Oryzias latipes: one gene and its partners. The protein of the gene in region 7 interacts with the protein of the main gene of each other region in a pairwise test. Links are inferred from orthologs where the notes say so. Each region holds a gene or a part of one and is shown on either strand. Other genes may lie near its edges.

Region 1 (4,110 bases), on a different chromosome or scaffold from region 7:
TAGATCCTCCATGGATTCTACTTTTCTCTATTTTAGTTCATGCACTTCCTTGTAGATTCAAAGTGCTGATGGAAATGTTTCCCTCCTCTCATCTTCATCACCAGCAGAACAGCTTCAGCCCACAGATCAAGACCCTTGAGCTCAGGTCATCTCTGCTCGTGTCAGCTTCAGACACGCACGCACACGCACGCACCTGCAGCCACATGACCAGCGGGAGCTCCCGGAACCCAGCGTCGGCGTGATAGAGCCACCAGAACATGTGGGCCCCGTCCCTCACCTCCACGTAGTTCCACGCCTCTTTGGGTGGCGGGGGCGCGCACAGCCCTGCGGACAGACAGGTGAGAAGCAAATACCCTGACGAGCATGCGCACACCGACAGAAACCGAGGTTACTTTCGTTTGACAGTCATCGGATTTACTGAAGCGAGGACAAGTCCAGAGATGAAAGGATCTGGAGGCGGGAGAAGAAGTGATGAAGAAGTTCTGCTCGACCCACGGAACTCACCATCACGGACGAGCACAGCGGACGCGCAGAGCCAGAAAAGCACCACGGAGCCGCACATTTTTGCTGCAAACTGGCGGAGAGGGACTTCACCGATGACGAGTCACGTGACCAAAAGTCACATGACCACGCCCAGGAGTCAGCTGATCGGCTGACTCCGATTTTTTGAGTTTTTTAAAAACAAGAAAACAGACAGAAAAAAAGAAGATCCTAAGTTTCTGAAACATCAAAATTTTAAAAGAATTTTTCTCATTGTGAGATTTTTTTTTTCATTCCAAAATTCCCCGAAGGTCACTGAGGTCACGGACCATGGTTTCCACGGCAACCATCTGCAGTCAGTTATCCATCACCTAGTGCTGTAAAGTGTCTCTGTCTGTCTACATTGTGCTAACAGTAAGGTTTGGTGGTGGGAGGATCATGGTGTGGGTTTATGTATAGTTTCAGAAGCTAGGCTTAAGGCTTGGCTCCTTACTTTCAGTGAAAATAACTCTTTGTGCTTCATCAATCCAAAACCCCTTGGACAATTCCACTATCACAAGAGTCTGAACAAAGGAGGGACCAAATGTTTTCAAACAGCATTTTAGAAATCTGCGCCTGATTTGCCACGATTGAATCCTGGTGATCCTCATGATGCCCTCCATCATGAGAGAAAGGCTAAAAGAACATGCTAAAAAAACAACAACACGATTTTATCCTGAGTGGGTCTTTGACCTGGATGAAGAATTATTGAGATCCAGGCCTCCTTGTCCAAACTCTGAACAGAACAGTTAAAAATCCTTGTAAATCTCCCTAAAGAGCCCCGTGAATTATTATGGGATGCTGTTTTAATTTTAAACGAGTGAAAAGGCAGATGGGATACACTCCGGACCGGCAGAGGGCAGTGTCGTGACAAAAGCAGCGCTTTATCCTCTGCGCATGCGCGGGGCGGCGTGTTGTCGCGGAGGGTGTCATGGCGGCGCTCGGAGACAGCTTGATCCGCCTGCGGCTGCTCTTTGACTACCCCCCTCCGGCCGTGGCGGGGTGCCGCATGTGCTGGCTGCTCGTGGACCGGAACGCGTGTCGCGTGGTGGCGGACCTGGAGGGTCTGATCCGGCAGAAGTTCGAGTTCAGCCGCGGGAGCGTCCTCAGCCTGTTCGTGGAGGACTGCTACCTTCCGCACACGGAGAGCATCTTCGTCGTGCGCGACAACGACAGCGTCAGGTGCGCGCGCATCCCACACACAGCGGGGTCCTGATGTGCCGGTGTCGTTTCCGAAACGGTTCGAGCCTGCAGGCTGACACCACAGATATCCGGACCTGAAGGACTTAAGGCCCAATCCGATCATTTTAGTCTGTTTTCAAAGTGTTCCCAGTGATCTTAATGTTTTTAGACAAATTATTTCAAAAAGTTCATCAGAAATTCACCTCTGACTTGTGGGCGGGACTGTGGCGCAGAAGTAACCCTCCACTGATGTCCCATCATCCCCTAGTTTACACTCTCTCCCACTAGCTTACAGCCCCAACCCAACGTTAGCGGTGCAACCAAAACAGCAGCAACATCAGATCCATCCGTCCGTCCAGTTCTGACCCAGATTCCAGCTCAGACCAGGAAAACAAAGACCTTCATGGATCTGTCGGTCTGCAGGTGGAGGATCAGAACCATTGACTGAATATGAGAACTGGACTGAGTGGCCCCGCCCCCTGGCATTCCAAACAGGAAGTGGCTCTCAGAAACTAAAATCCCACAGACTTGAGAAATAAACAGCTGTTAGTCATTCATTCTATTGGTCAGTAAAAACATTCTGGATCTGATACTTTTATTTAAACATGTTTTTGTTAATCCTCTTTTATTCATGATATATTTTTCTGTAAATCAAGTTCTAAACTGACCAATCAGATGCTTCAACAAAGGTAGGCGGAGCCTCCTTGCCACCCACATCAAATGGTCAAAACATTTGATTGACACGTTTTCCAGAGCCCGCTCTCAAGTGGAAGGGGTGTGGACCTCTAACAAGCTCACTCCTGATTGGTGATACTGGTTGCCATAGAAACATTGACTCGGACTGACCAATCACTGCTTCTTGATGTTGTCTGGCTCCAACATGGCGGTGTTCGTTTAGCAACAACAAGAATGGGGACTGCACTGACTTCATTTGGTTGGAGCTGGAAGTCGTTTTCAATGGATGACGTCACACTGGCTCGGTCCAATTCTAAAGAATCAGTCAATGGTTCTAATGGGCCTTGGTTGATCAAGATGCAGTTTGGGGAAATGTACACACAGACACCACGGAGGCCATTTTTCTATTACTGCCTGAGGCCTGTGCGGTCTGAGATGAAGCTCGAGCCTTTCTTCTTCCTCTGACTATGAACGCTCTCTTCAGCGTGGGTTTGGGGGGGGGGGTTTACATTGTAGAACGGGTCGGTTCTGGATGCGTTTCATGCAGAAATGTTTCTTGTTCTGCAGGGTGAATGTGGACTGTGTGGCTGCGCTGAACGGCTGCAGCAGCTGCGCAGACGCAGAAGGAGTCAAAAGCAAAAAGAGACGGAGAGACGGGGGGGAGGAGGGGCAGCTGGCTGAAAACAAGAAGAAGAAGAAGAAGAAGAAGAAGAAGAAACGAGAGGAGGGGGAGGCCGGAAGGAGCAAGCAGGAGACGGTTGACAGGAGGGAGGCGTCTCCGGGGAGGAGCAGCAAGAAGAAAAGGAAAAAGGAGGGGGAGAAAAGTAACACTGTTGCTCCTACACCTGCTGCCCCCCCCAGAAAAAACCCGCCCAGTGCCCCCCCATCAGCTGGAAGCAACAAGAAGAAGGCCCCAGCCAAAACGCAGAGTTCCTCCACAGAGTCCAGCAGCGAGGAAAGCAACTGCCCCAAAAGAACTGCCGCAAGGACGGCGCCCCCCACCCCTGCTGCTTCCAAAACGCCCCCAAACACCAAGCCCCCCCAGAAGAACACACGGCCTCCCTCTTCATCGTCCTCAGAAACAGACTCTGATGGAAGTACCCCCACCCCCAAATGCCCAGAAGCTCCGTCAGCGCTGAAACAGACAGATGTGGTCCAGGCAGCCCCCCCTCAGGACAAAGGGGCGGAGCCTGCTGATGCTGGGAGTGAGGAAGAGATCCAGCTGGTCATCCGACGGCCGCAGCAGCCTAACAGACACGCGGACGGCCTCTGGTCACGGCGCGGCGGCGGCAGGGGGGCGCGTGGAGGTGCTGGGGGGGCAGCAGGCCGGGGCCTCAGCGGTCAGAACAGTGACAAAGAGCCCCCCCTCCAGGCGCGTTCCCCGACCAACACGCCACCGCTCCTCCAGGTCAGTCCCCGCCCCTTTTCTCTTACGCTGCAGACGGAGGAAACGTCTGAATCTGGTGCTTGTGTGTCTGCAGAATGGAGCCGGGGGCCCCCCCACACGGGACTACAGCTCCATGCCCCTGCTGGCCGCTCCTGCACAGCCGGGGCAAAGGATCGCTTTCAAGGTGAGGTCCGTCCTCCAACGTCACAAACATCTGACTGCTGAGGGGCTCCGCTTGGATTTAGAAACATCCCAAACAAAAGTTTAAACCTCAAACGTCCAGAAATCTGACAACTGATGACAGAATTTACCAGAGTGGAGAACAGCAGCTCCAGCTTCAGCTGCTC
Region 2 (4,243 bases), on a different chromosome or scaffold from region 7:
ATGAGAGAGCTAAGATCCTGTGGGACTCCCAGATCCAAACTGACAAGATGGTCATGGAGAACCAACCAGACACTGTAGAGGTGGACAAAGAAAAGAGGAAAGTCTGGAAGAACTGGAGAAAGCTTTAAGGTTAATTTGACGGTGGTGCCTGTGGTTATCCGATCACTCAGGACAGTAACCCCTAAGGTGGAGGAGTGGCTGTAATGTTAGAAATGACCAGAAGAGTGGCTAAAGCAGATCCCTGGAGAAACATCTCAGTCCAGAAAGGTTCAGTCCTAGGAAAGATACTGCACAGAACCCTCAAGCTCCCAGGCCTCTAGTAGAGGACCCAAGCTTGGGTGAGAAACTTGCGGGGGTGTGAAAAGAGTGTTTAATTTATACCATGTAATTCCCCATTAACCCACATCAAATAAGGGGAAGTTGGATGCTTGCCTTGTCACCTAAACAGCAAGTCTCACTCAGCATGGGGGTTTCTTACCAAACTGCACAGAAACTTCGTACTTTCCCTTTTTCACTGCTTCTTGAAGTGAATTCATCAAATTGTGTTTGGTGGCTTCAACTTTTTTTCTAGTGGTTTACCTGTACTTTTCTGTATTTTTTTTAACCAAAGAAATGTCACTGAAGATTTGTTTGAACAAATGGATGTTTATTAAAACCCTATTTATGACTTCTGCCTAATACTATTCCCCTATTCCACATTGGTTATGTTTTGGAAGCTGTTTAAAATGTTTTATTTTTTATTTCATGTGACCAAATGTAAATATATCTAAAGTTGTATAGTTTGGATGCTGCGTGTCTGACAGGGCAGCCTCACAGCCGGCTGAACTTAAAATGACTCAGAACACACTGAAATTTGAACCACTGTCCCACCAACTTTTCAGAAGTTAAAGTGTGATCTTAAAGAAAACTGCATCCTTCATAATAAAAGCATAGACTAAAACCCACTTCAAAATATGTGGCATTTTGTATTCTTGCTCCAAACGTTGAAAAACAGAAAAAAAGCTAAATTTGAATAAATTAATCATATAAATGTCGCATTTGCTTTGAGACATAAGGGACACATTTATAAATGTTTTTTACTCATTTAGTTTCTTTTGTCGACAGTGTATTTTACTGATTTTAAACAGCATATTTGTAAGGGAAACCCCCCCTGGGAAGAAAAAAAAAACCTAGAGATTTGCTTAAAAGTCGCTTTTCGGGACTGCGTGGTTTTTTTTCTCTCTCTTTTTTTTTTCAAATCTACGTTTCAACACATACTGCATAAGTTACAAAAACATATCTTTCTTTAGCAATAACATCTTCGGGCTTGAGCTGTTAAGCATGTTGAAATTTTTCTGTTTAAGTGACAATGTTTTATATTTTTTTCCATAACGAAACTGAAACAGAACCTCTGGAATCTTCTCATTGAACCCCCACTTTCTTTGCGTAATCGACGATGCGCATGCGCATTGTCAAAGACTACGCTGTTCTTACTTCCTGACTTTGGGAGGTCACGCCAAAGGAATTCTTCTACGCCGATTTCCTTCACAGGGCGATCTCATCAAGGACCTTTTCAAACCACGAACCGAAGACCTCCCTACACGAGCAAAGAAATGCAAGTATTTTATGTTTTTAGAGCCGCTGGTAAAGTAATCGCGCGCTTAGCGAACAAGGCTAACTAGCTAGCTAGTCAAATGTTACATGAAATGTAAACAAACTATAGTTACAGCAAAGGTACGCACTTTTAAATAATAATTTGACTCCTTATGTAAGATTCCTTTATCCACTGTAAAACACCAGCAGTTGTCTTTTTTCTTTTATATTAATTTTTAATCCGTGATGTGTAGCCCTTTAAATGATGTGGGTGGAATCTTTGTGAACAGAGCAAAGTATGCAGTTGATAGTTCGTAGAAACACAACAATGACGGCATACGCATTTGTCGCTCACTGGGCGGTTAGAGATGTTAATTTCAGTTTTGCTGTCGCAAAGACAGCAAAACTGTCTTTGCGACAGCATATTTACTGTAGTAAATATGGCCGTTAGCTTTTGATTTGATCACTTGATCACTGAGGCAGAAAAACGTGACAGTGCAAAGATCACATGCAGTCCTCCACCACCAGCAGATAAAATCCCATGTCACAGCTAAATGTGCACCAAATAGTTCCACGTACAGCGTGTTTGTCAGAAGGAGTAATGCAGCATATGACTGTCCTAATGTGTGGCAACAATATCACACAAGAGTCTCAACCTCCTGTAGAAAACAGTGATTGTTTTTGACTGTGCTGCTAGTACATTTCTGGATAATCTAACAAACATATGTGGCAGATCGCTGAAACCTATTAACAGTGTTCCAACATTGTGTTTTGATGAATCAATGATCTGATTAGCTCTTTAAGAATGGTGAACAGTACATCTGCTACACCCTTTGGCATATAAGTTAACTACAGGAGCCGCCCTCGTGCCCATCCCTTGTGCCTTCACTAAAACATTCATTTTTTCAACTGATATCCATCTGGTTTCCTGAGTTACCGGCTTAAAAGAACTTTAAAGAGCCTAGCTATGTGGACAGATTATGACTATGAATGGAATGGACATTCCATACCATTCTATCTACACACACTCTCAAAAAATGTCCAACTGAAAGATATTTGACTTCTACTTTCTGTTTTTGACAAATAATTTCCTCTGGGAGGTGACTAGGCTTGAATAAAAGTCATCACACCTTTAGTATGTGTCATGAATAAGAATTGCATGAAACACAGGCGTGCTGATGCAATGTTTATTAGCACGATGTGATGTCAAAGGTGGACATAAAGATAGGGAAGCTGGTTAACTTCCAGAATACTTTATATTTTTGACAAATCTGAATGACTGAGGAGGACTGAAGCTAGCAGGAGAACATGGCAACAGAGAGCCCTCGGCAACATGGAGAGAAGCGGCGTTGCTCCATGCCAACAGTCCAGCCAACAACTCAGAGGCGAATTTCTAATGATCTACTGCTGCTCTGCAGAAAAATCTGGGCACTTTTTTGGACAAAAATGGCATAGTGGTAATTAGAAGACCCCTGGGAACACTTTAAAAATGGCTCAAAAGATGATCGGAGTAGGTCTTTAAGTAAAAAAAAAGAGATTCCCCCATGATCTATTATTCAAGGTTCTACACTTCTAACTCAAACCTTTTTCATGTTTCTTTTCTTTTAGATTTTGTGTTTACCGCCACAGCTACTTGTTTCAATGATGTGTGACCCCAGCCAAGATGGGAATTGGGAATCGGACTCCACAATTGATTACTCTAAGATAAACAATCGTCTGGAATCTTTCTACAACTCCAGCTGGAGCAAGAAGGTGTCACCGCTGCAACTGGCTGAAGCTGGCTTCCTCTTCACTGGAGTCTCTGACCGCGTACGCTGCTTCAGTTGCCAGAAAACGGTAGAAAACTGGTCCCAGGAAGATCAACCAGTGGACAGACACATACAGGTAATTGTTTATGTTGAAAAAAAAAATAGTTTAGAAATGTTGGGCAATTCTTTTTCAACTTTTTAAATAATAAAGTTCAACATTTTCCTTCCATGCAGGTTTCCCCATCGTGCACGTTTCTCCGCTGCACACACTTCAACCGTTTTAAGTCAAATCCCCATATGCCCCTCAGCAATGGGGGCCTTCATGATGGAACTGAAGGATATATAGATTACCAGTTGAGAACAAGAGCCATTGTTGATGAGACTCCATATCCACGGAACCGGAATATGAAAAGCGAAGAAGCCCGCCTGGAAACTTTCTCTTCGTGGCCGCGTTCTGCTCCAGTCAGACCTCGAGATTTGGCTCAGGCAGGTTTGTTCTACTTAGGAAAGGAGGATAAAGTGGAGTGTTTCAGTTGTGGAGGCAAGCTAAGTGGCTGGAAACCTGGGGACACCCCCTGGAACGAGCATGAAAAACATTTTTCCCACTGCTTCTACATCCTTGGTCATGACGTGGGAAATGTGCCTCTGGAAAGAGATGGAGGAGAAAATGAAGAGACTGGCAGCAGAAACCAACATCGCACACCTGTCAATTTGGAAAATCTTGACGAGCGACTCGGCACTTTTGCACGCGTCCAGCACCCGATTGACCACGAGCTGCTTGCTAAAGCTGGCTTCTACAGCAAAGGTAAAGCATGTTTGTTCAAACATCCCCTTTACAAATGAGATGTACCGGTAATATTTTAATTTTTCTAAATCTAAATGTTTGTTCATAATATTTTTTTATTATTATTCTAGGAGAAGGA
Region 3 (4,104 bases), on a different chromosome or scaffold from region 7:
ACATCTGTTGGAAGGTTGACAGGGAAGCCAGGATGGAGCCGCCAATCCATACAGAGTACTTCCTCTCTGGAGGTGCGATAATCTAAAAGCATAAATGAGGAGTTAGCAAGTACAGTAGTGAAAAAAAACACTGAAGTGCTTTAGATGGAGCACTTTAGACTTTGTGCGCAAACTCAAGTCTCCATACCTTAATCTTCATTGTAGTGGGGGCCAAGGCAGTGATCTCTTTCTGCATGCGGTCAGCAATGCCAGGGTACATGGTGGTACCGCCAGACAGCACAGTGTTGGCATACAAGTCCTTACGGATATCAACATCACACTTCATGATGCTGTTAAAGGTAGTTTCATGGATACCACAAGACTCCATACCTGTGCATGAGAGTTAAAATACAGCCGTCACTTTTCAACATCAGATGTGCCAATATTCAACCCATATTGCATGAGGATGTAAGGTTTACCAAGGAAAGAAGGCTGGAAGAGCGCCTCTGGACAACGGAACCGCTCGTTTCCAATAGTGATGACCTGGCCGTCTGGCAGTTCGTAGCTCTTCTCTAGTGAGGATGAAGATGCAGCAGTTCCCATCTCCTGCTCAAAGTCCAGTGCAACATAACACAACTTCTCCTTAATGTCACGCACAATCTCACGCTCAGCTGTAAAACAGACAGAAGAAAGCAGTTTATATTTAGTTTTCAACTCTCCACATCCTATTGCTCAAATGTAAAACAGGGCCCACCTGTGGTAGTGAAGCTGTAACCCCTCTCAGTCAGGATTTTCATGAGGTAGTCTGTGAGGTCTCTCCCAGCCAGGTCCAGCCTCAGAATGGCATGGGGCAGAGCGTAGCCTTCATAGATGGGTACTGTGTGGGTCACACCGTCACCAGAATCCATGACGATTCCGGTGGTGCGTCCAGAGGCGTACAGGGAGAGCACAGCCTGGATGGCCACGTACATGGCAGGAGTGTTGAAGGTCTCAAACATGATCTAGAAGAAGAGCAGTGGAGACCTTAGGTCAGTGAATCACACCAGTTATTGTTAAGATCACTATAACCACCACACCAGCTGAATTCAATACAAGTTAAGATTACTTGAGCACAGCCACACAGTTATGCAGAACACAGCAATATAAAGTGATTGTTTAAATTTGTTGACAAGCACATCAGTTGATAGATCAGAAAAGTTTGTGCCCATGCTGCAAAGAGTCATTCCTGATGCAGTGCAGGAAGATCAAAACCTTAAAACATCCGCAGAGGTAAAGAGATCAGCTCAGGAGAGAAGAGTCCTGGAGTATAAGGAGGAGCAGGAGGAAATGATATGGAGCATGAAAAATGAAAAGATTGAAACAGCTTCTGAATGGAAGCTGCAAATGAGCTGGCAACGCAATTCAGAAAACAGTTTCAGGATCCTCACCTGCGTCATCTTTTCTCTGTTAGCCTTTGGGTTTAGGGGGGCCTCAGTCAGCAGGACTGGATGCTCCTCAGGGGCAACTCTGAGCTCATTGTAGAAGGTGTGATGCCAGATCTTCTCCATGTCGTCCCAGTTGGTTACAATACCATGCTCAATGGGGTATTTGAGGGTAAGGATTCCTCTTTTGCTCTGTGCTTCATCACCAACATAGCTGTCTTTCTGGCCCATACCAACCATCACACCCTTGGAAGGCAAAGTTTAAAGTTAGCCCCAAACAAAAACTCTCTGGCTTTGGGTTATGCTGCAGGTAAAAAAAAAAGGCTGTACCTGATGCCGGGGGCGGCCAACGATGGAGGGGAAGACGGCACGAGGAGCGTCATCCCCAGCAAACCCAGCTTTGCACATACCAGATCCATTGTCAATAACGAGGGCAGCAATTTCTTCTTCCATTTTCTGCAGAAAGAAAAATCAGAAACTCAGCATCTACCACTGGACAGTCCTGTTTCAGGGTCTGGACGCTGGGTGTCGCTGTGGTGTCGTTTCGAGTTTAAAAATGCAGGGCTTTGAAACAAAAGGGGTTTCTAGCCCGTCTGACCATGGCCATATAAGGCAAAAGTGAGAGCAGCCTCACCGGCAGCAGCAGACCGGTCCAGAAACCACCCCGTGTCCCAAACAGGTTCGGATGACACCGACAGACGGCCACCCCCTTCAAACATCCTTACCAATCTTTTTTGCCCTCAGCACATCGCATCACTGTCATAAATGTTTGATTGTTTTCCAGAACTACAGCTTTAAACCCGTCAAATAAGCAAAGTCATCCCAGCAAGTGCAGCGAAGGCAGAAAAACTACAGAAAAACACAACGTTTTTTTAAAGCTCAACGGACTTGCTGATTAAAAATAAAATAAAGGCTTAATGTATAAAATAATACTTTAGAATGAAGCAAATGTAAAGTCCTTCATCGTCGGGCCGAAACCCGAGACGTCAGAAGAACCGCAAACCTTGTGGATGCTGGCATGCAGGAGAAGGTCAAACTTGTCAACGCGGCTAGTTAAATATACGAGCGGAATGATAATAGCATCAAACACAGGGATATTTACGACGGAGAAGCAGACATGACAGCAGTTTGTCATTCATTGACACAGCGACATAACATTTTAATTTGCTATCGCCAGACAGAAGTCGCCGACTTTAAACATTTAGGTCTTTAACGTATCGAATAGGGCGTAAATTTTATAAGCAAGAAAACAAAAAGTCAAAAGTTGCCTCTTACCTGTATGAATGGGGGTTCACGACTTGTGAAGACTCTCGCCGGAAGGCAACACTCCTGCGGAGTTTAGTGTTTGAGCTACACTGCAATGAAGGCCTGTGAAGTGCGGGCTTATATGTGAGCTCGTGCTGCAGCCCCTCTCCATAAAAGGAGAACTTTCCGCACGGCGTCCTCTGATTGGCTCCGCCGCATCCACTGGGTGTGGCTCATGCAGATAGCTGCCGTGCACCCTGGCACGCGGGGGACAAGGACCGTGAAAAGTAACCCCTATATTTTGAGGGTTAAGTGTCAGGGGTCATTGGTCACTGTGTTTTTTTTTAAGTGGTTTGTTTTTGTTCTTATTTTTTTTATTATTGTTTTTGAATGAGTGACTTAAAACCCAGCAATTACAACTGCTAACATGGTTCTTGAGAATCAGCTTAAAAACATGTTTTTCTGTTGTGTTGTTCTCACATTAGGGATAAGTCCAGTTAAATTAAAAACATGCAATCATATGTTTACTCCTTATCATCTACCCTGTAATTTGGCTAAGGTAATCCTATAATTTTGCTTGTCCACTTGTTTTTTTCTTAACCAGATCTTCAAAAAAAAAACGTAACAATTTAGGAACTTTTTTTTATATAACTGAATTGTGTCAATCTTTGAACATCCAATTTTTCCCACCGATCACAGACACGTGTATTTGGCAGCCTTGGACTGGTTACAGTTTCAGGGTCACTGACAGTAGTGTTAACACCCTGCACAATATGTGCTCCTGCGTACCGGTCTCACTTACACGTAAGCACATATATCAGAGTGACAAAGATACGCGTGTCCAAGTTGATTTTGGTTTACAGCAAAACGGAGAATCTGTTAATCCCTCTTTTGCACTCATCAGTTTCGTGATGTGTTCGCCTTTGAATGAAAAATATGCAACCTGCTATGACTCACTTGAGTGCACAGAATTACGCAGCACCTGTTGGCATTTTAACCTGAAATGGTGGGTGGAATGTAGTATTCAGCTTTGCGATGCAAATCTGTCTTTAGAAGCTTATGTTGTAAGCAGACAAGACAAAGAGTGGCTTAGTCAGGGTGGCGTTTTAACTCAATTAGGGCACAGGACCAATAGTACTAGTGACTCTGAGATTTGCTCCCTGTGCTCCTAATATGGATATTTGGGAGCCTGCTCTCCAGCAGGGAAGGGAAGTCACATTTTATGGTGCTTTATTTTTTGTAGATGCACACAGGAAGTGTTTGCAGCTAAAGACACATATGGTGTGGTGGTAGTGGGGGGGTTGAGTTGGAGTGATGAGCTGATCAGGGAATTGGCTTTTCTGAGTGGCATTATCCTGTTTTAGAAAGACAAGCACCAATTATAGCGCCAGAGCAGGCTATCCATCCCTTTAAGAGTTCCTTTGGATGACATCCATAAAAGGAGATATCGGAGGATGTC
Region 4 (4,167 bases), on a different chromosome or scaffold from region 7:
TTCTTATAGCCTGTGACAAATGACAGGCAAAAAACAAAAAGGTTTACAAGTTTAGAACAATTTCCCAGATGTATATATTTTTGCACCATTTCGTGCTGGATTGTGGTACTTTGTTTATCAAATTAAAGTGGATTGAGGTACAACAAAAGCTGTTACATTTAACCAAAAATTATATTAATTCTGCAAAGAAATGTTCCTTATATAAACATCTTTTTTGTTATGCTTTCACCAAAACGATGTACAGTAGAAACCAGAATGATGTCTTAAAAAAAGAAAACAACACTTTATTATTCTGTAACAGTGTTTGCTTTATTGCATTTAGAGAAGACAGTGAAATCAGTGCAATGCAAAAATTGATGTAATTAAATTGCAAAGTTGTTCCTAAAGTGCTTCATCACGTAAGCATAATTAACTTCTCCCCTAAACAAAGGAAATTTCTGGAATGAACTTAAGTATCTGACAGTATCTTCCATCTTAGCCAAATGTAGTGTTGTTCCAGCCCACATTGGCTGCATCCATGTCAACAAAGTTAACATAGATCCTGAAAACAAAAAAAAAAGACCAAACGGAGACAAGTCAATAGGGGCCCCATCTTAGTGTTTATTAACTTCCGCTTGGACTCACACCTCACCTGTCTTGACAGATGCCCAGGTGTTTGTTGAGCAGGCCACACAGCAGTTTGGAGTATTGCTTGTTGTGAGCCCCGCTGATCTTGCCGATGCTGTGGAGGGAGCAGAGCGCGCAGGGGTCTCCCTTCCCTCCGAACATCATCATCTGGTCGGGGTTGATCAGCACTGCAATGTACTGAAGGCACAACAACAACACGCGTGAACGCGGGAGAAGCAGGCAGTAGCGGTTTTAGGCACGGGCCATACGGGCGATCGCCCAGGGCGGAAAAATGACGGAGGGGCGGCGCCAGCGGCTCAGCCCTTGTAAAATACTTTGTGCAGCACTATTGGTTTTTTTATATCACAGAGTTTGTAACAGCCTGAAACCTGGTGGCGCCCCCGCCCCGCCCTGCGCTCCCTCCTGTCTTTGAGAAGTAGACGCAAATGTGTGTGAGAAGGAGAAGGGAGGGGGCGCGGGGTGAAGAAGGAGAAGGGAGGGGGCGCGGGGTGAAGGGTGCAGGTTGAGAGGCGAGCACGGAGCGCAAAACGCATGCGCAAACCTGGCTGGATCTTCTTCCAGGGGGGCGACGGTCACAGGCCAGGGCTCAGTGCTTGATGAAAAAATAAAAACTGCGCCGCCATGTAGCGAATTGGAGCCCCTGAGTGCAGCTGCACGCGCTCCCGCTGTAAATGTGTGACGAGGGGGGGGGGGCGCTTCGGGTATAAAAAAGGTATAAAAAAATCATGTTTTTTTGGTTATTTTTGTGTGAAATGCCCAAATAAAAAATAGGAAAACAAAACAATGTTTTCACTAAGGTGACAGTTGGTTTAGTCGACAGACTTGATGCCTTTGTGAGGACATTTATGCTAAATGCAAAAACATCAGAAATATGAAGAAAAAAGGTCAAAGCTGGTGCCCAATTTAGAAAGAAAAGAAAAGAAGAAGAGGAGAAAAGAGACAAAGAAAAGGGTATTATCGCATAGCTAGATGCACGTTTTCTAAATTCGAATGCTATCTGCCCTCCAACAACAACAACGTTGCAGAGGAAAAATCTCTTGTTTGGTCTATCATGACCAAAACTGAAGTAGGCCCAAATATTGTAAATAACGTCATTTTTAAGATTTTCTTCTTAAATGTTTGCTCTGTCTTAACTTGTAACATTAGTTATGATTCGTGTGTCTGTCTGCTCTGCTTATCACAAAGTTTTTGTTGTGTTTTACTGTTGTATATTAGTTCATAATGTTAAATAAGCTGTGATGGTAGCATGCGGCTGCTGCTGCAGCTGCAGTTAGCTTTTCAAAACTCCAGTTGATCAAGTCATACCTGAGATCACCAATGTCTCAGGAGCGACTCACTAACCTGCCGTTGTTAATATCAATCATGCAGGGGGGGGGGAGCAGATTTCATATGATGACGTTATTGACAAGCTTGCATAAAGGAAGGCCACAAAGGTTAGGTTTTAGTTAGTGTTGTCTGTTCTTAGTGCTGCAGTTACATTTATTCTAGTGTGTTATTAGTGTGATTTGTAGTTTATAATATTTATTTTAGATTATTTATTTGTGTTTGATTAAATATTTCCTAACTGTATTTTTGCCATGCTGATAGTCTTTTAATTTTTATGTTCCGATAACTGTTATAATGCAGTGCAGAATTCTGATAAACATCTTTTTTTTTATATCAATTTCTTAGCTTCAGTTACAATAAATGGACAAAGTGACTCTATTGGGGGGGCGCCAGAGGAGGGTCTCGCCCGGGGAGTAATTCAGGGTAGAACCGCCACTGGAAGCAGGCCACCCGAACACTCAACCTTACCATCCTCATCACTCTCAGAAAGGTGAAGACAACGTTTAGATTATTCAAAGTTCTCCAAAATAATTCTAAAACGTCACTGACTGATACACACGCACAGTCCAGATCATGAGTGTGAAACTGACTGGGTGGGTCGGGTGCAGTAGCAGGCAGCGATCTCTTCTCTGCCGCGGGGGTGTCCATAGATTACCTGGGCGGGCTTCCCCATCGCCTTGGCCAGTTCCTCCGTAGCCTCAGACAGCAGGGCCGCCGGTACGTCGCTTTTAGCCACGTTGGTGTTCACTACAAACATCGGCATGATGACAACTTTCTGCAATCCTCACACTGATCGACTTTACTCTCACGAGGAAACACTCTTCTTCTCTTATAGTGTTCTCACAAGAAGGCAGAAAAGGAAAACAGCGCCTCCTTCTGTTCTGAAAGTAAACTGCGCTTTCTTACTTTTCCTTTATTTTTCTGCTCGAAATTTTGTTGGTAAAGTCTGAAAAAAAACACACAAATGTAACATGTTGGTCTGGTATTTATTTTAAATTTGATGCAGAAAGGTGTTCTTCCCATTATTTCTTTCAGGTTAAAACACGCTGTCTTTTTTATTACAAGACAATAAAGATGACAGAATAAATTTACTTAATTTCATTTCAGCTAAACATCATGTTCATAAATTTAAATGTACTAACGAAAAACCTTTCTTGCCCATTTTTATCTGTGAATTTATATATATTTGCCCCTTTGTTCAGTTTTCTCTGTGTTACAATACAATTACACATTGAATGTACTGATTGTCAAGAGTGTTAATAGATTTTTCGCTTTGTTCTATTTTTTAAAAGTTGGCAAAAATGGCTATTTAGTGATTAACTTTTATTTGTAAACCTTTGTTTTGGTTTTTATATTTTATACAGCCTTGTATTTGATTTTACTGGATTACTGACCATTTCGGTTTATAACAAAATATTTTTGATTATTAAGCTCTTAATGGTCTTGTAAAGCCTGTTTAACAGATATTGCTACAGTTTGCATCTGGTTGATGTGCCCGGGTCACATTATGAAGGGGTGACCATGTAGGCCCATTTTCTATTGCCAGACCTGAGCTGTGTAAAATATCTGTGCAATATATTAACTTTCAATTCAAATCTCATCTTAAGATATAGTAGCTTTCAATATTAATTATTTTTCTGTGTGTGATTTATTTCATTTTTAAGGTACATGCCTTATTAATAATAATAATAATAATACATTTTATTTAAAAGCGCCTTTCAAAACACCCAAGGTCACTGTACAAAGTTAGAGGTAAAACACAATAAAATCACAAGTTAAAAACAATAAATAAATTGGATTCATTAATAAAATCAGCTGACAGAAAATGAGAAACTGTGTTCCGGAAATGCAAGCTTGAACAGAAAGGTTTTGAGTCTGGATTGGAAGATCAGAAAGGAGTCAGTGTTACGTAGGTCTGGGGGGAGAGAGTTCCAGAGTTGGGGAGCAGAGCGACTGAAGGCACGGCTCCCCATGGTGACCATACGGGCCGGAGGGACAGAGAGCTGAAGGGAGGAAGAAGATCGAAGAGAGCGAGAGGGAGTGTTAACATGGAGGAGATTAGAGAGATAGGAGGGAGCCAGGCTATGGAGGGCTTTGAAAGTGTAGAGAAGGAGCTTGAACTTAATCCTAAAGGCTACTGGAAGCCAGTGCAACTGCTGGAGAACGGGAGTGATGTGATGGAAGGAGGGGGTTCTGGTGATGATGCGGGCAGCT
Region 5 (4,099 bases), on a different chromosome or scaffold from region 7:
CAGAAGCTAAGGTAAACATTTTGTTCAATCAGTTACTTTTATATTAGCTGGTGAATGCAGCCATTATTACCAATGATGCAACCACTGACTAAATAGATGGATGTGTTGATAAACACTGCTATACATAACATTATAGTATTTGATATTGGCTGTAGATTAAATTACATACCCCTAAATGAAACATCTAAAAACTCTGTAATGTTGTGATGTGTGAGGCGTTACTTACAGGGGCTGACATCTCTGTAACGGTTCCGATTCTTGTTTTCGGGTAACTTGGCGATCTTACAGGGAAGTTCACACGATTGTTGCCGAATCTCCTGTTAAGATAAAAAAACAATCACATTTGTTTAACATTGTCAAAATGTTAATGGTGCCATTTTTGTCCTTTATAACTGCATAAGTGTGTGAATACTCCGAAAAAACGATCAATAATATGTCATATAACAGTTATCAATCCTTCTCAAATAATAATGTGAATAATTTTTTTCTGAGAAATGCTTTTTTAAACGCTGAAAGTGTCATAAACTTAACAGCTATGGTGCAAAAATAATTTAAAGCTTTAAAATGACATGTGTTGAATTGCCTCATGGGACGTGCTGCCGGTTTAGGACCCGGGCAGACACATCCATCAACAAAAAAAAGGTCCGAGCACCAAGCGGAAAAAAAAGAAAGAAAAAAAAACATGGACCGGCCACACAGGGAACAAAGCCGGCGGTTAGTTAAAAAAAATATACGGAGAAACACGGGGACTGAACTGTACGACTCTGCTCATGTATCGTGGCGAAAGTGAGAAAAATGTTGGCTCAAAAAGTGACAGCTTCACCCATTGCTGCTTTCCACCTTGACATGTCGAGAGTTCCTACCTGATAAATGGCGTTCCAACTCCCGTTTTCATCGATTTCTAAAAATTCGGCTTCCATTGCTTACGATCCAGCGGACAGTCTTTTTGTTCTCCTCAATGATGCGACAGCGACAACACAGCGAAGATTAAACGAATGAAACTTGAACAGTTTCCTGTATTAGCTGCCAAGTGTTTGGCCGTTGCGATTCTTAGTACGGCTGCATAGATTATACCGCGGCTGAGCGGAAACACGCTGCTAGCTCCTCCTACCGTGTAGCTGACGTCCTTGGTGGCTAAAAAAGAGTAAAGTGAGTTTTTAGGCTCCAGTAAAACAACTGCTTTTGGCTGTTTTGGCGATGTAACTCGATTTTTAACTTTTAATGCAACTCTTTCCCCTTTTTAAGCGGTCATTTTACCACCCCCACAGGAGTAACACAGACAGGCGAGTGCGCGCCGAAGGCATCTTGTTTCTGGAAAGAAGAGCGTCCGGCTTGACGGGGAGCGCGCACGTACATTTACGTAGCGGTCTGTTTACGTCCAATCTGAGGGGGTCGAAGCTTCAGTTTGAGCAACGAAAGTGTTGCTTGTAAACACCGCTTAGCGCCATAGCATGGGGCTTTTTTAACATTTCGTTCATGAAAGTCCTTCCAGAAGCCGCATGTAGGCTGACTTAAATCATGCCGTGATGGAGTAATTATTTATTTTTCGGACAGCACGAGCTGGGACGACAGACTTTGATGCTAAGGCTAGTACAGTAGCTAGGAAAGCAACTTAGGTGTAGGGGTTGAATCAGCCTTACCGCAGTGACAGGTATTACGCACAATTTTTCGAAGTTCTTACTGTGTGTCGCTTTTATGTGCTGTCTCACTCTGGCCGTCAGTGTACTTCATGTGGCTCTCTTTTCCAAAGTTTCTGTCTGTCTATGTTAGCCATCAGCTGTCGCTGGCTACTGCTGCTAGCTAGCCCATGTGTAGCTATAGTTATTGCCTCCCAGTGGTGGAAAAAGTGTTCAGGTCCTTTAACGGTAAGTTGTTTTAGCAATACTAAAGTCACAGTGTTAATAGGGATCATATTTAACATTAATATCGTGGTTATAAACCGGGGAAGGTCTTTTGTTATCGGGTATTGTGGGAAAAACTGCAGTGAATAAAAATGTTTTTTGTTCTTGATTTTTATATGACACTGCAGTTGTATACTAATATAAATTAGCTAGTCTGCCGCGGCCGACTAAATATAGACAATTGCTTGCCTCAAAAATGAATGAAAGTGCTTGATAGTGTTTACTGTACGTTTGTTCTCCTTGGTTCTCTGTTTTTTTGTCTTCAGCCTCATTCATCATACTCCTAAGCCCTTTTTTTAATCCTTCTATCGTGGTTTATAAGAAAATGCTAACCATTAAAAGATGGGTTTGTAGTTTCACTCATTGGATTTAGTTATTTAAGTCTTATGTTTAAACTTTTAACATGTCAAGTAACTTACCAAATCCTAGTGTCAGAGTGGTTTATTACTAAATTTAGATCAAAGCACCTATTATCTACTGCTGCAAGTAGCTGTTCATACAGTCTTTAAAGTATATGATTGGATTCACGTGTATGTATGCATTAAAAAAGGGATTTTACACCAATGTTGTCATGTTGATACTCAATGATAAAAGAGGAAAAAGGATTATGGTGCACTAAAGTCAGATGTCAAATTTGACATAATGCATTTTTGATCCAAGTAAACCTGCTGCAGCAGGAGGATCTTTTTTTTTTAACTTAGGGTGTACTTTATTTTGAAAGAGACTTGAATGTGATGCTGTTAAAAGTAATAGAAGTAAAATTGTTACTGAAAAATTATTTTTTATAAATAAACAGCTTAATGACCACAAAAACCTAAGTAAGTGTTTCTAAACAATGAAGTGGGACTTTGCGGCTCTCTGTGGTTTTTGGTTGGTAAGAACTGGACTAAATGACTTATTTAGCATTAAGGTTTGCAGACTCCTGGTCTGAACAGTGATCATCTTTGTCCCTTTAAGCCACTAACATTTTATATTTCGAATGTTTGTAACGTTTATATTTAAAATAATAAAACGGCCAATTTGTCAAAGACACGTTGATTAAAGCAGTTTTGTTTGTGTCAGTTGTTTTTGTATGTCTTTTAAGGCTGCAGGAGCACATTGTTAAAAGAGAATGTTCAATGAGATGCCGTATTCACAGAGATTTTCTGTATTTATTCCTTTAGACTCTTGTGGAAGTTTGAGGTCCTTGAGGGATTCTCAAAGCAACATGGCTCCTAAAGACATCATGACCAATTCCCACGCCAAATCCATTCTCAATGCCATGAACTCGCTTCGCAAGAGTAACACACTCTGCGACATCACTCTGAGGGTTGAGAATACAGATTTTCCCGCCCATCGGATTGTCTTGGCAGCCTGCAGTGACTATTTCTGTGCCATGTTTACTAGTGAGGTAATAGTCTGTCATCTTCATCAGTCTGATCATCAATCCCTGTTTTTCACCATCTGTGTCAAATGTACTTCTTATGTCATTATACTGATTAAACTGATGTGTTTCAGAGTTTTGAGTAATGTTGCTTAAAAAAAATGTTAAACTAAACAAAAAGAGTTTGATTCAATGTGATAAAGATACTGTAGCATGCTCCTGCCACTTGAGGGCAGTCTCAGAAATATGAGAAACATTTTTCTGAATATAGATAAACTACAATAAAACTTTTCAAAGTAGTATATTACTTTCTAAAGTGACTTTTTTTTCTTAGTTTTTGCCCTTTTAGCCCCACATCTGTTATGTGTTCCATAAAGTACAGGATTACAGCTTAAAGATAAAAAAAATCATCCAGTTAAGCCTTTGTTTTGGTCCTCCAGCTTGCAGAAAAGGGGAAGTCTTTTGTTGACATTCAAGGACTGACTGCATCTACCATGGAGATCTTGTTGGACTTCGTCTACACAGAAACGGTGCTTGTCACGGTGGAAAATGTTCAAGAATTACTCCCTGCAGCCTGTTTGCTTCAGCTGAAAGGTAATTTTAATGCCTGTTCTAATGGCTAAATATAAAGATTCTCCAGAGAACAGGCTTTATAGTGACATATTTATCGTCTGTCTAATGCAACAGACATGAAATAAAATAGCTGAGGCTGGCTCTACTTGCTAGGAGCTGTTACTGATAAAATACAAGAAAAAGAGATGGAGGACACACAGAAAGTTAATAAATGTTGTTAAAAACATTATTGGGGTTAGAGGTATAAGACACATTCACTTTT
Region 6 (4,039 bases), on a different chromosome or scaffold from region 7:
CCTCCAGCACTGTATCCTCTGCTCTCCATTGCCTGAGACATTCACTGAGCACACTGTCAGTTGGGGCCTTGAGCTTGATGTACTCATGCATCTTGGATGTTTCATCCTGGATATTGGCTTCTACACTCACTAGTCTTCGGCCTCCTCGGCTAGCATACAGTCACAGGGTGCTGGATTTGGGATGGAACCCTCCAAGCATGGTGAGGAGCTTTCGTGATTTAACATCCGTGGTCTGTATCTCTTCCTTTGGCCATCTTATTATTCCTGCAGGTAATAATATACAGGAACATGTGTGCAGAATATGAACTGGAAACCCCAAGGTCAAAATGGGAAACACCTCCGAAGGTGGTAGAGAATGAGAGGGCAAAGATCCTGTGGGACTTCCAGGTCCAGACTGATAGGATGGTAACGGCGAACCAACCAGACATTGTAGTGGTGGATAAAGAACAGAGGAAAGCCGTTGGGGTGGATGTGGCAGTACCAAGCGATGGGAACATCAGGAAGAAGGAACCTGAGAAACTGGAGAAATACCAGGGACTCAGAGAAGAACTGGAGAAAGCATGGAAAGTGAAGGTGACAGTGGTGCCTGTAGTAATTGGAGCACTCGGGGCAGTAACCCCCAAGCTGGAGGAGTAGCTACAACAGATACCTGGAAAGACCTCAGACCTCTCAGTCCAGAAAAGCACAGTGCTAGGAACAGCTAAGATACTGCAGGACCCTCAAGCTCCCAGGCCTCTGGCAGAGGACCCGAGCTTGGAGGATAAACCACCCGCGGAGGGTGAGAAGGGCGTTTTTTTTTATATAGATGTCAACCTTCACCAATATTTAGATTTTACTGTCAAAGATGTTATTTGTCTAATCCATTAAAAAACAAAGTATTTGGAGTTTGAAGAAGTCTGTCTAAACACTGTATGAAAAATGAGCTGAGGTTTGGTAAATGTGTTCATTTTTAATTCAAATCTATTTTAATAAAAACTAAATCTTTAAAAAAATAAAGTATATGACATGTATTCAAGAAAAGGATTTTACTTATCAATAACCAAATAAAAAACTGATGCAAACTGATAATAGAAGACGACAATAGTCAAGCAACAACAACGATAATAATAATAATAATAATAATAATAATAATAATAATAATAATAATAATAATAATAATAATAATAATTTTAAGAAAATTTATTTTGGTTAAACCGGAAACACATGCCCTGATTTGTGACGACATTCTGCATAGCAACAGAGGAAGATTTACGTGTCCTCGACTCGAGGCGCTCCTCAAAGAGACGCTTGTAGCCTCAGTTAACCCTGGTTGTTCGCACTGCTGACGCTACAGTTTTGACTGTTTACTTTCCTCTACAACAGGACACCTGCCGATTTATAAAATGTCCAATAGTGAGGTAGGTGCAATTGAAAACGTTATATCTTCCTTTTTTATTTTACATTTCCCGTATGTTCATTGCTGTTTAACCAGCAGCTCAGCTGTTTGCTAACATAACAAACGATCAACCTGGTTCTCCTTTGCCGAAATCCGTTTCTGTGGCTAAGAATTAACCGCCTAAAGTAACATGAACGGGTTTAGTGTGCAGTCATTGTGTTAATTTGTCGCGTTTGTCTTGAAGGGAAACAAACTTTGGGGAGGCCGTTTCGTTGGAGACACGGACCCAATCATGGAGAAGTTCAACGCTTCCATCGGTTACGATCAGAGGATGTGGGACGCAGATATCAGAGGAAGCAAAGCTTATGTCAAAGCGCTGGAAAAAGCGCAGCTGGTCAGCAGTGAGGAAAAGGAGCAGATCTTACGTGGGATGGATCAGGTGAAGTAGTCTGTTGTTGTTGCTGCTGGCTCCATCACTGAATCAACCGGTCCTGAGGATTCATTCATTCATTCATTCAGTTGTGGTTGTAGTGCAGCGTTATTCTCTCTCTTTGAGCCAGACAGGGCACTTTTTCCTTGATAAAAATCACAAGGCACATTACCAATTAAATATGTAAAAATGAAATAAAATCAAAGTTATGTTTTGTCAAAGCGTCTTGAATAAGAATCAAATAAACAGAAATAAATCAGTCTTTTTTTATATCCACCTACTCGGTGTGAAAACAGGACCTATTTGGATGACATTCTGGCAATTTCTTTAGTTTACTAACAATTAACCGATTTGTCATTTTATCCAGCCAGATTGATCTATCTTAATTAACTTATTAATCAAATCGACTTTACGTTAAAAATAATTTCGAAATGAAATAAACAGATTTTTAATCGATCTTGGAGAGTAACATTTGGACTGAGGCGTGGTAGGTTTATTTTTACTTTAAGGTAAAATGACTGTCATTACACTGGTCAACACATCAAAAAATGATCAAGCTATCATTCCAGTCCAATGTGTGAAAACAGTGAGACATGTGAGACATGTGACCATACAGTGTGGTATCATGACTTTATCATGTGGAAAAACAACAGTGACTTTGTGAAACTAAAATGTGAATTGATTAATGTGTTTATCTGTCTGTTAGTTCACATATTTAATTTAGACTTGATTATCTTGTAAGAAATTCACTAAATCTGGAAATCTTCACCTGCACTGTTCAGTACCCAGTTATTTCTCAGAGTCCCACTGGTTGAATCTTTGGCTAAAGACGTCCCTAGATTGATTTTAGGTCAGTGAATTGGATTGTTCAAAATGAACCGATATTAACTATGAATCGTATCGTCAATTGCACATTATGATATGAATTAAATAGTTGTTAAAATGAATTGTTATTTCCCTGTGTTTGTCACATTTATTACTCAAATGAGGTGCATTAGTGCATCGCTGCATACTCTGGTGGTTAGGCAATGACAGCTGTCAAAATGCCGTGGTGTAGCATTCCTGCATTCTGCTGAGTGTCGTTATGACAGCAGCACCTTCAGATTCAACCAGGGCAGGTTTCAACATGTCCTCTCCAGCCTACTGTTCTGTTTTACAAGTCAGCAGTTCAGTACACTGTTTCCCTTCAACTTTTAAACACAAACATTTGTTTTTTCCAGGCTTTGTGTTAAAACCATCTCTCACGGCTCACAGGTTGAAAAACACTGGTTTAGTGCATCACTGCATACTCTCAGGTGGTTAGGAGATGACCGCAGTAAAAAATGCCCTGTTGTAGCATTCCTGCATTCTGCTGGGTGTGTTGTGGACAATACTGTCATCATGTGACAGCTGCAGCTTCAGTTTTATTCAGGGCAGGTTTGAACATGTCATCTCCATCCTACTGTTCTGTTTGGACAAGTGAACAGTTCCATAGACTGTTTCCCTTCAAACCCAAACATTTGTTTTTTGATTACAGGCTTTGTGTTAAAGTCCACTTAAAGTGACCATCTTTGATGTTTCCCCCCCCCCCTGCAGATTTCAGAGGAGTGGTCTAAAGGTAACTTTGTCATTAGACCTGGAGATGAAGACATTCACACTGCCAATGAACGCCGGTTGAAGGTGATGTGCAGCTGTCCATTGCATACATCCTGTTCACACACATCTGCCATTGAGCTTTTACACAGCCTGCTGTGAGTTACTCCACTAATGTCTAAGCGAAAGTCTGGATGTTTGTTAAACTAAAAACCCATGTTTTCAATGTAAACGTTACTTTATGACGTTTGCTTTATGAAATGTGTACAATATTAATTATGCTGTTGCCCTTTTTTTTCAGGAGCTCATTGGTGCCCCTGCAGGAAAACTTCACACAGGCAGAAGCAGAAATGATCAGGTTTTATTTTAGTTTATTCATGTTTTTATTGTACCTTTTAGGTTTGTTTAGCATATAAATTCATAGAAAAGCTTTAGAGTTGCACTTTGTGTTCTGGTGGACCAGGTGGTGACTGATATGAGACTCTGGATGCGAGACGCCATCACCACCCTGACAGAAAATTCTCTCCAGCTCATCTCGACCATGGTGGAGCGGGCATCCGTGTAACTAAGACCGACTCGCAAATGGAAACTCATCTTCTGTATATTATTACTGAAACTGTTGGTGTTAACCTGCATTTCCTGGTTCCATCACAGGGAAATCG
Region 7 (4,223 bases):
AGCGGTAAGACCCCAAGACTCTGTTTAAAATTATCACAAAGACCTAAGCATCAAGGTGGCTTAGGCCTACCAAACCTGTGCCAATACTACTGGGCCTCTAATGTTCAAAAAACGATAGATTGGCTCCAAGCTTATGACATCAACTGGTATCGATTTGAAGCCTCCTCCTATAATACAAAAACTCTGACAGCCCTAATTGGATCTAGTCTCCCCTGTGTCATTTCACACTATATTACACACAATCCAGTAGTTACCAATACCTTTAAAATTATGTTTCAATTCAGACAGACGTATGGACTCACTCAAGTGCTTACCACTAGTCCTATACACAAAAATCACCTTTTTCTCCCTGGTCAGACAGACTTCGTATTCATGATTTGGGAAGTGATTAAGGTACAGTATAATCAACTTTAAGGACATGTACCTAAGCGGTATATTTGCAAGCTTCAATGATCTTGCTTCCAAATTTTGTCTGCCTCACTCTCACTTTTTTTAGTACCTTCCAGTGTGTCGCTTCCTTCAGCAGCATGACCCTAACTTCCCTAACATACTGTGTTAGATGAGGTGTTTGAGTTGCCACTCAATTCAAAAAGATTCATTTCCAAAATCAAAGACTGCAAAATTCCTGCTTCCATCTTTGTTGTTTGATTGTCGACTGGTTAATTCAAAACTTCCAAACTTATGTAATACGTTCTTTGTTTGTTGGAGAACTGTTTCCAACATTCTACAAAACTCATTCTATGTCCCAGCATTACACAAAAAAGTTTTTTAAAAACCCAATTTTTCCAAAATACAAAGAAACCCATTTTAAACAATGAATGCAGTATACCCATGCAAGGAACTGCTACATTTACGTTTTGGTTTTCAAGAAAATAACTGTTAATAAATATAAAATCACTTGATCATCTGTTTTTTGAATGTACATATGTTACCAGTTTTTGGGAGTATTGTGTTTGTTGGTGCTCCTCAAAGTTTCCTTTTCCTATTTCTATTCCGTTACAGTTGTGAGTACTTTCTGGTGATAATTTATTTGATTTGGCATTTGATACTTTATTAAATTCTGGGAAATTCTTCATCAATGAGAGCAGATTTTTTTAAAATCAAATCATTATTCAATACATTTCATAAAGAGATCTGTTTACATTTTAAATCCTTGGAATTCAAGAAAAACAGAAATGCAATAAAACTGTCAATTTTCATTGAAGATCACATGTTGTATGACCATACCTAGTGTGAGCTACAATTCTAATGTTATTTATTTATTTTTTCTTTGTATTGTATTCTTTTTTCTTTTTATATCTTTCTATTGTAGTTATGTGAATGTGTACGTGTCATCCTTTGAAGTTCAATAAGAATAAAATAAAATAAAAAGTTGGTGAAATCAACGCTACAGGAATGGGCTTTTAGTTTGAAAGGACGGATGTGACGTACTGTATTTTCGGTGAGGTTCTTTCCGGTTAGCTTACAGACATGAAGGGTCAGTTAAAGAAAGGTGTGGAAGTAATACCAAGCCGGGAAAACTGCGTTTATACCAGCTGTTATTGGTAAAAACCAAGTTTTAACAAATCAGAAAAGCAGCCCACTGTCCTGCAGTCTTTAGTTTTGTGTCAATAAATCATTTATTGTCAAGAAAAACATCAAAATGCTAAGCGGATCCGCTCGGCTAATCGATATTCACAGTTTACATTGTTAAATGTTATACCCATTTTTAAAACTGTTATAGTGAATGAGTTATTTCAATGCCATCTGTCTAATTAATGATTGAATGAATTTTCAGGGAAATATAGTTCATTTTAATCAAGTGAATGAGTGGCTAATGCTGCTTTCCTTTACTTTCTCAGTGAGGAAAATGTTTGGAAGCTCTGTGAGTTTATTCAAGCACAGAAAATGGTTCCACTGGACCAGTTTGCTGTAATTTTCATCTCTAACGACACCAGAACGGTAAGAAGATCTGGAAACATTTTAAACGGCTTAACAAGACAATCGAATAAACAAAATGTTTGCTTTAAAAATAATATTTCAAAAAGTACCTCATACTGAGAATGATGGGCACCGAGCCCTCAAGGGTTCAGGTGGTCTCAAGAAATATTTGAAAGTAAATAACAGGCCTTCTCTGTAAAAAGAAAAATCCTTTTTGCAAAACATCTGGTAGTTTCAAAATACAGCTACAGTGATCCCTCGCTATAACACGGTTTACTTTTCACGGTTTCGCTACTTCACGGATTTGCATCGTGCATTGTGTTCTGCATTCTGATTGGCTAAAAAGTCACTTCACTTCTCTACCTGTGCGTCAATAACATTGCAGTTTAATATGTACACGTACGTAAATCAGCGTGCCAAATTTACAACAGATACGTGCAAATCATCTTGCAATTTCGAGTTTCTCTATAACCCATGAAAAAAAGGAGCGACAACAACAACTGCCTATCACTATGTTCTTCTCCCGAACAAACACAGCTGCACCGCGGGCTTCAAAGGGAGACTGCAGAGCGGAGTCAGGATGCAGCGGCTCAAGAGCAGTGAATTACACCTGAGTCACTATTTGTCTGACCGTACTTTGTATTTTTTTAAAAATCATTTTAAATATCTTCCCGTTTAATCCAAATACTCGGGTCGCGGTGGGCGGGGCTAATCTCCGCGATTTGAAGCCTTCTGTTCACATTGATGATTAAAATTCTTATTTGACAGTACAATACAGAAGATATTTGTTGAAAAACCTTTTCTAAAGTACTTTTATTTGTGAAACAATTCCTTAGCCTGTAAAACGGTTTGTTCTTTCTTTTCAATGTATAATAGAGAATTTAATTGTATAATAATTGTTAAAAAAAAAGGTTTCTACTTCACGGATTTTGCCTATCACGGGTTCTTTTTGGAACGTAACCCCCGCGAAAAACAAGGGTTTACTGTACTCCATTAATTGTGTCCAAATTGGAGGGCTGTGTTCTTCCTGGGCTGCATCTGAAGGCTGCTTACGTAACATGTTGTCCAAATTCAACAAGTCCTTTAAATATGGCCACCGAATACAGCCTTCTTTTTACCCGATTTCAAGGATTGCTCTGGTGTACCCTTCTATGCTGTCCATATCCCAAGATGCATAGCAGTAGAACCCGGATATTTTCTGACAACAATGGCTCCATGCCTGGTTCACTCCTCCTCCCTGTTCGGGACTCACGGTTGCTAGGCAACAGGACATTCACTGATGTAATGGCTGGAATTATCTAAAGGCTAGACTCGTCCAAATTCACAGCCATTAACATCTGACCTACCCGCTCAACAAAGGACCCGAGTAACATCGCCAGGGAAGACTGCGGCCATTGAAGGACGCAGACTTCGAATTTGGGAGCACCCAATATATAACGCTCAAATGTTGTGAAAGCGTCTCACTAAAACGGTCAATCAAACCAAACAAAGAAGTTCATCAAACAAATAGGCAATCCCTAAAACTGGCCACTACACACAGTACATTACAAAAACCAAAGAAATCCCGGACAAGCCCCCAATTTATGTTACACCCCATTTTAGGAAAAAGAAATACTATTTAATAAAAAAACAACCAAATTACTGTATATTTGCAGTATAAAGCACACTTAAAACCCTTAATTTTTTTATTTAAAAAGCAACAGTTTGTCTTAAAATCATGATCACCCTATCTATTAATTAGTTATGCTGCAAACAAGGTTGGGTGTTATTGTGAATACCCTCACGCGGCTAATGTGTGGCGATGTTGGACTGTTTTTTTGGTTACCAAAAAGGTTGTGTGATAGCGTAGTCACGGTAACGTTTGTTTTAGCGCTATCAGTCTGTTTTGTCCACGTGCTGCAAGCAAAGTAACGTGACTGACTGACGGACATTTCTCTGACTCTTTAATCTCACTTAATCTGCCTTGTAGTTCGGTGTGCTCTATATGTGACATATGCTCAAAATAGACCATTCATTGATGTTGTGCTTGATAATCCGGTGAGCCCTGTAGTGTGGAAAATACTGTACAAAGAACAAAGCCTGTATGTATGTTCTGCCCTGGAGATCCTTGCCCAGTCTGGTGCTCTGGACAATTAGGCACAAATGTGCAATCAAAGCTGGCAGAGGAGAAGGAAGACAGAAAACCTCCCACTCCAGCAGAAAATATAAAAGAAAATAGAGAGAGAAAACCCAAATGTACAAAAAAGCCATCACACTGTCATTTATCCATAAATTTTCTAAATCTGCTTAATCTGTTTTGAGGT

Evidence for each region.
Region 1: the proteins of wdyhv1 (region 7) and coil interact in binary tests that used the Homo sapiens proteins (3 or more experiments, as listed by UniProt). The link is inferred for Oryzias latipes from reciprocal best matches to the Homo sapiens genes NTAQ1 and COIL.
Region 2: the proteins of wdyhv1 (region 7) and E3 ubiquitin-protein ligase XIAP interact in binary tests that used the Homo sapiens proteins (3 or more experiments, as listed by UniProt). The two-hybrid records come from large-scale screens. The link is inferred for Oryzias latipes from reciprocal best matches to the Homo sapiens genes NTAQ1 and XIAP.
Region 3: the proteins of wdyhv1 (region 7) and actin, cytoplasmic 2 interact in binary tests that used the Homo sapiens proteins (3 or more experiments, as listed by UniProt). The two-hybrid records come from large-scale screens. The link is inferred for Oryzias latipes from reciprocal best matches to the Homo sapiens genes NTAQ1 and ACTG1.
Region 4: the proteins of wdyhv1 (region 7) and mif interact in binary tests that used the Homo sapiens proteins (3 or more experiments, as listed by UniProt). The two-hybrid records come from large-scale screens. The link is inferred for Oryzias latipes from reciprocal best matches to the Homo sapiens genes NTAQ1 and MIF.
Region 5: the proteins of wdyhv1 (region 7) and klhl12 interact in binary tests that used the Homo sapiens proteins (3 or more experiments, as listed by UniProt). The two-hybrid records come from large-scale screens. The link is inferred for Oryzias latipes from reciprocal best matches to the Homo sapiens genes NTAQ1 and KLHL12.
Region 6: the proteins of wdyhv1 (region 7) and asl interact in binary tests that used the Homo sapiens proteins (3 or more experiments, as listed by UniProt). The two-hybrid records come from large-scale screens. The link is inferred for Oryzias latipes from reciprocal best matches to the Homo sapiens genes NTAQ1 and ASL.

Annotation. Positions count from the first base shown.
Region 1 is NC_019866.2:24,978,630-24,982,739, forward strand, and holds the start of coil (coilin), read left to right. Parts: upstream 1-1,310; 5' UTR 1,311-1,450; coding exon 1,451-1,701; intron 1,702-2,943; coding exon 2,944-3,784; intron 3,785-3,857; coding exon 3,858-3,947; intron 3,948-4,110. Other genes in the region: scpep1 (retinoid-inducible serine carboxypeptidase), read right to left, coding at 194-324, 505-562. UniProt on the Homo sapiens protein: Component of nuclear coiled bodies, also known as Cajal bodies or CBs, which are involved in the modification and assembly of nucleoplasmic snRNPs.
Region 2 is NC_019868.2:22,022,659-22,026,901, forward strand, and holds the start of E3 ubiquitin-protein ligase XIAP, read left to right. Parts: upstream 1-1,443; 5' UTR 1,444-1,594; intron 1,595-3,180; 5' UTR 3,181-3,213; coding exon 3,214-3,456; intron 3,457-3,554; coding exon 3,555-4,125; intron 4,126-4,235; coding exon 4,236-4,243.
Region 3 is NC_019859.2:22,455,868-22,459,971, forward strand, and holds the start of actin, cytoplasmic 2, read right to left. Parts: upstream 2,801-4,104; 5' UTR 2,676-2,800; intron 1,857-2,675; 5' UTR 1,854-1,856; coding exon 1,731-1,853; intron 1,647-1,730; coding exon 1,407-1,646; intron 981-1,406; coding exon 734-980; intron 651-733; coding exon 459-650; intron 370-458; coding exon 188-369; intron 83-187; coding exon 1-82. UniProt on the Homo sapiens protein: Actins are highly conserved proteins that are involved in various types of cell motility and are ubiquitously expressed in all eukaryotic cells.
Region 4 is NC_019868.2:14,250,741-14,254,907, reverse strand, and holds mif (macrophage migration inhibitory factor), read right to left. Parts: upstream 2,801-4,167; 5' UTR 2,717-2,800; coding exon 2,609-2,716; intron 805-2,608; coding exon 632-804; intron 542-631; coding exon 475-541; 3' UTR 284-474; downstream 1-283.
Region 5 is NC_019865.2:21,840,052-21,844,150, reverse strand, and holds the start of klhl12 (kelch-like protein 12), read left to right. Parts: upstream 1-1,299; 5' UTR 1,300-1,651; intron 1,652-1,750; 5' UTR 1,751-1,807; coding exon 1,808-1,865; intron 1,866-3,064; coding exon 3,065-3,291; intron 3,292-3,704; coding exon 3,705-3,858; intron 3,859-4,099. Other genes in the region: ptpn1 (tyrosine-protein phosphatase non-receptor type 1), read right to left, coding at 227-317, 864-920. UniProt on the Homo sapiens protein: Substrate-specific adapter of a BCR (BTB-CUL3-RBX1) E3 ubiquitin ligase complex that acts as a negative regulator of Wnt signaling pathway and ER-Golgi transport.
Region 6 is NC_019872.2:8,458,415-8,462,453, forward strand, and holds the start of asl (argininosuccinate lyase), read left to right. Parts: upstream 1-1,239; 5' UTR 1,240-1,382; coding exon 1,383-1,397; intron 1,398-1,619; coding exon 1,620-1,814; intron 1,815-3,380; coding exon 3,381-3,464; intron 3,465-3,678; coding exon 3,679-3,735; intron 3,736-3,840; coding exon 3,841-3,938; intron 3,939-4,031; coding exon 4,032-4,039.
Region 7 is NC_019869.2:4,812,114-4,816,336, reverse strand, and holds the start of wdyhv1 (protein N-terminal glutamine amidohydrolase), read left to right. Parts: upstream 1-1,423; 5' UTR 1,424-1,470; coding exon 1,471-1,544; intron 1,545-1,841; coding exon 1,842-1,941; intron 1,942-4,223. UniProt on the Homo sapiens protein: Mediates the side-chain deamidation of N-terminal glutamine residues to glutamate, an important step in N-end rule pathway of protein degradation.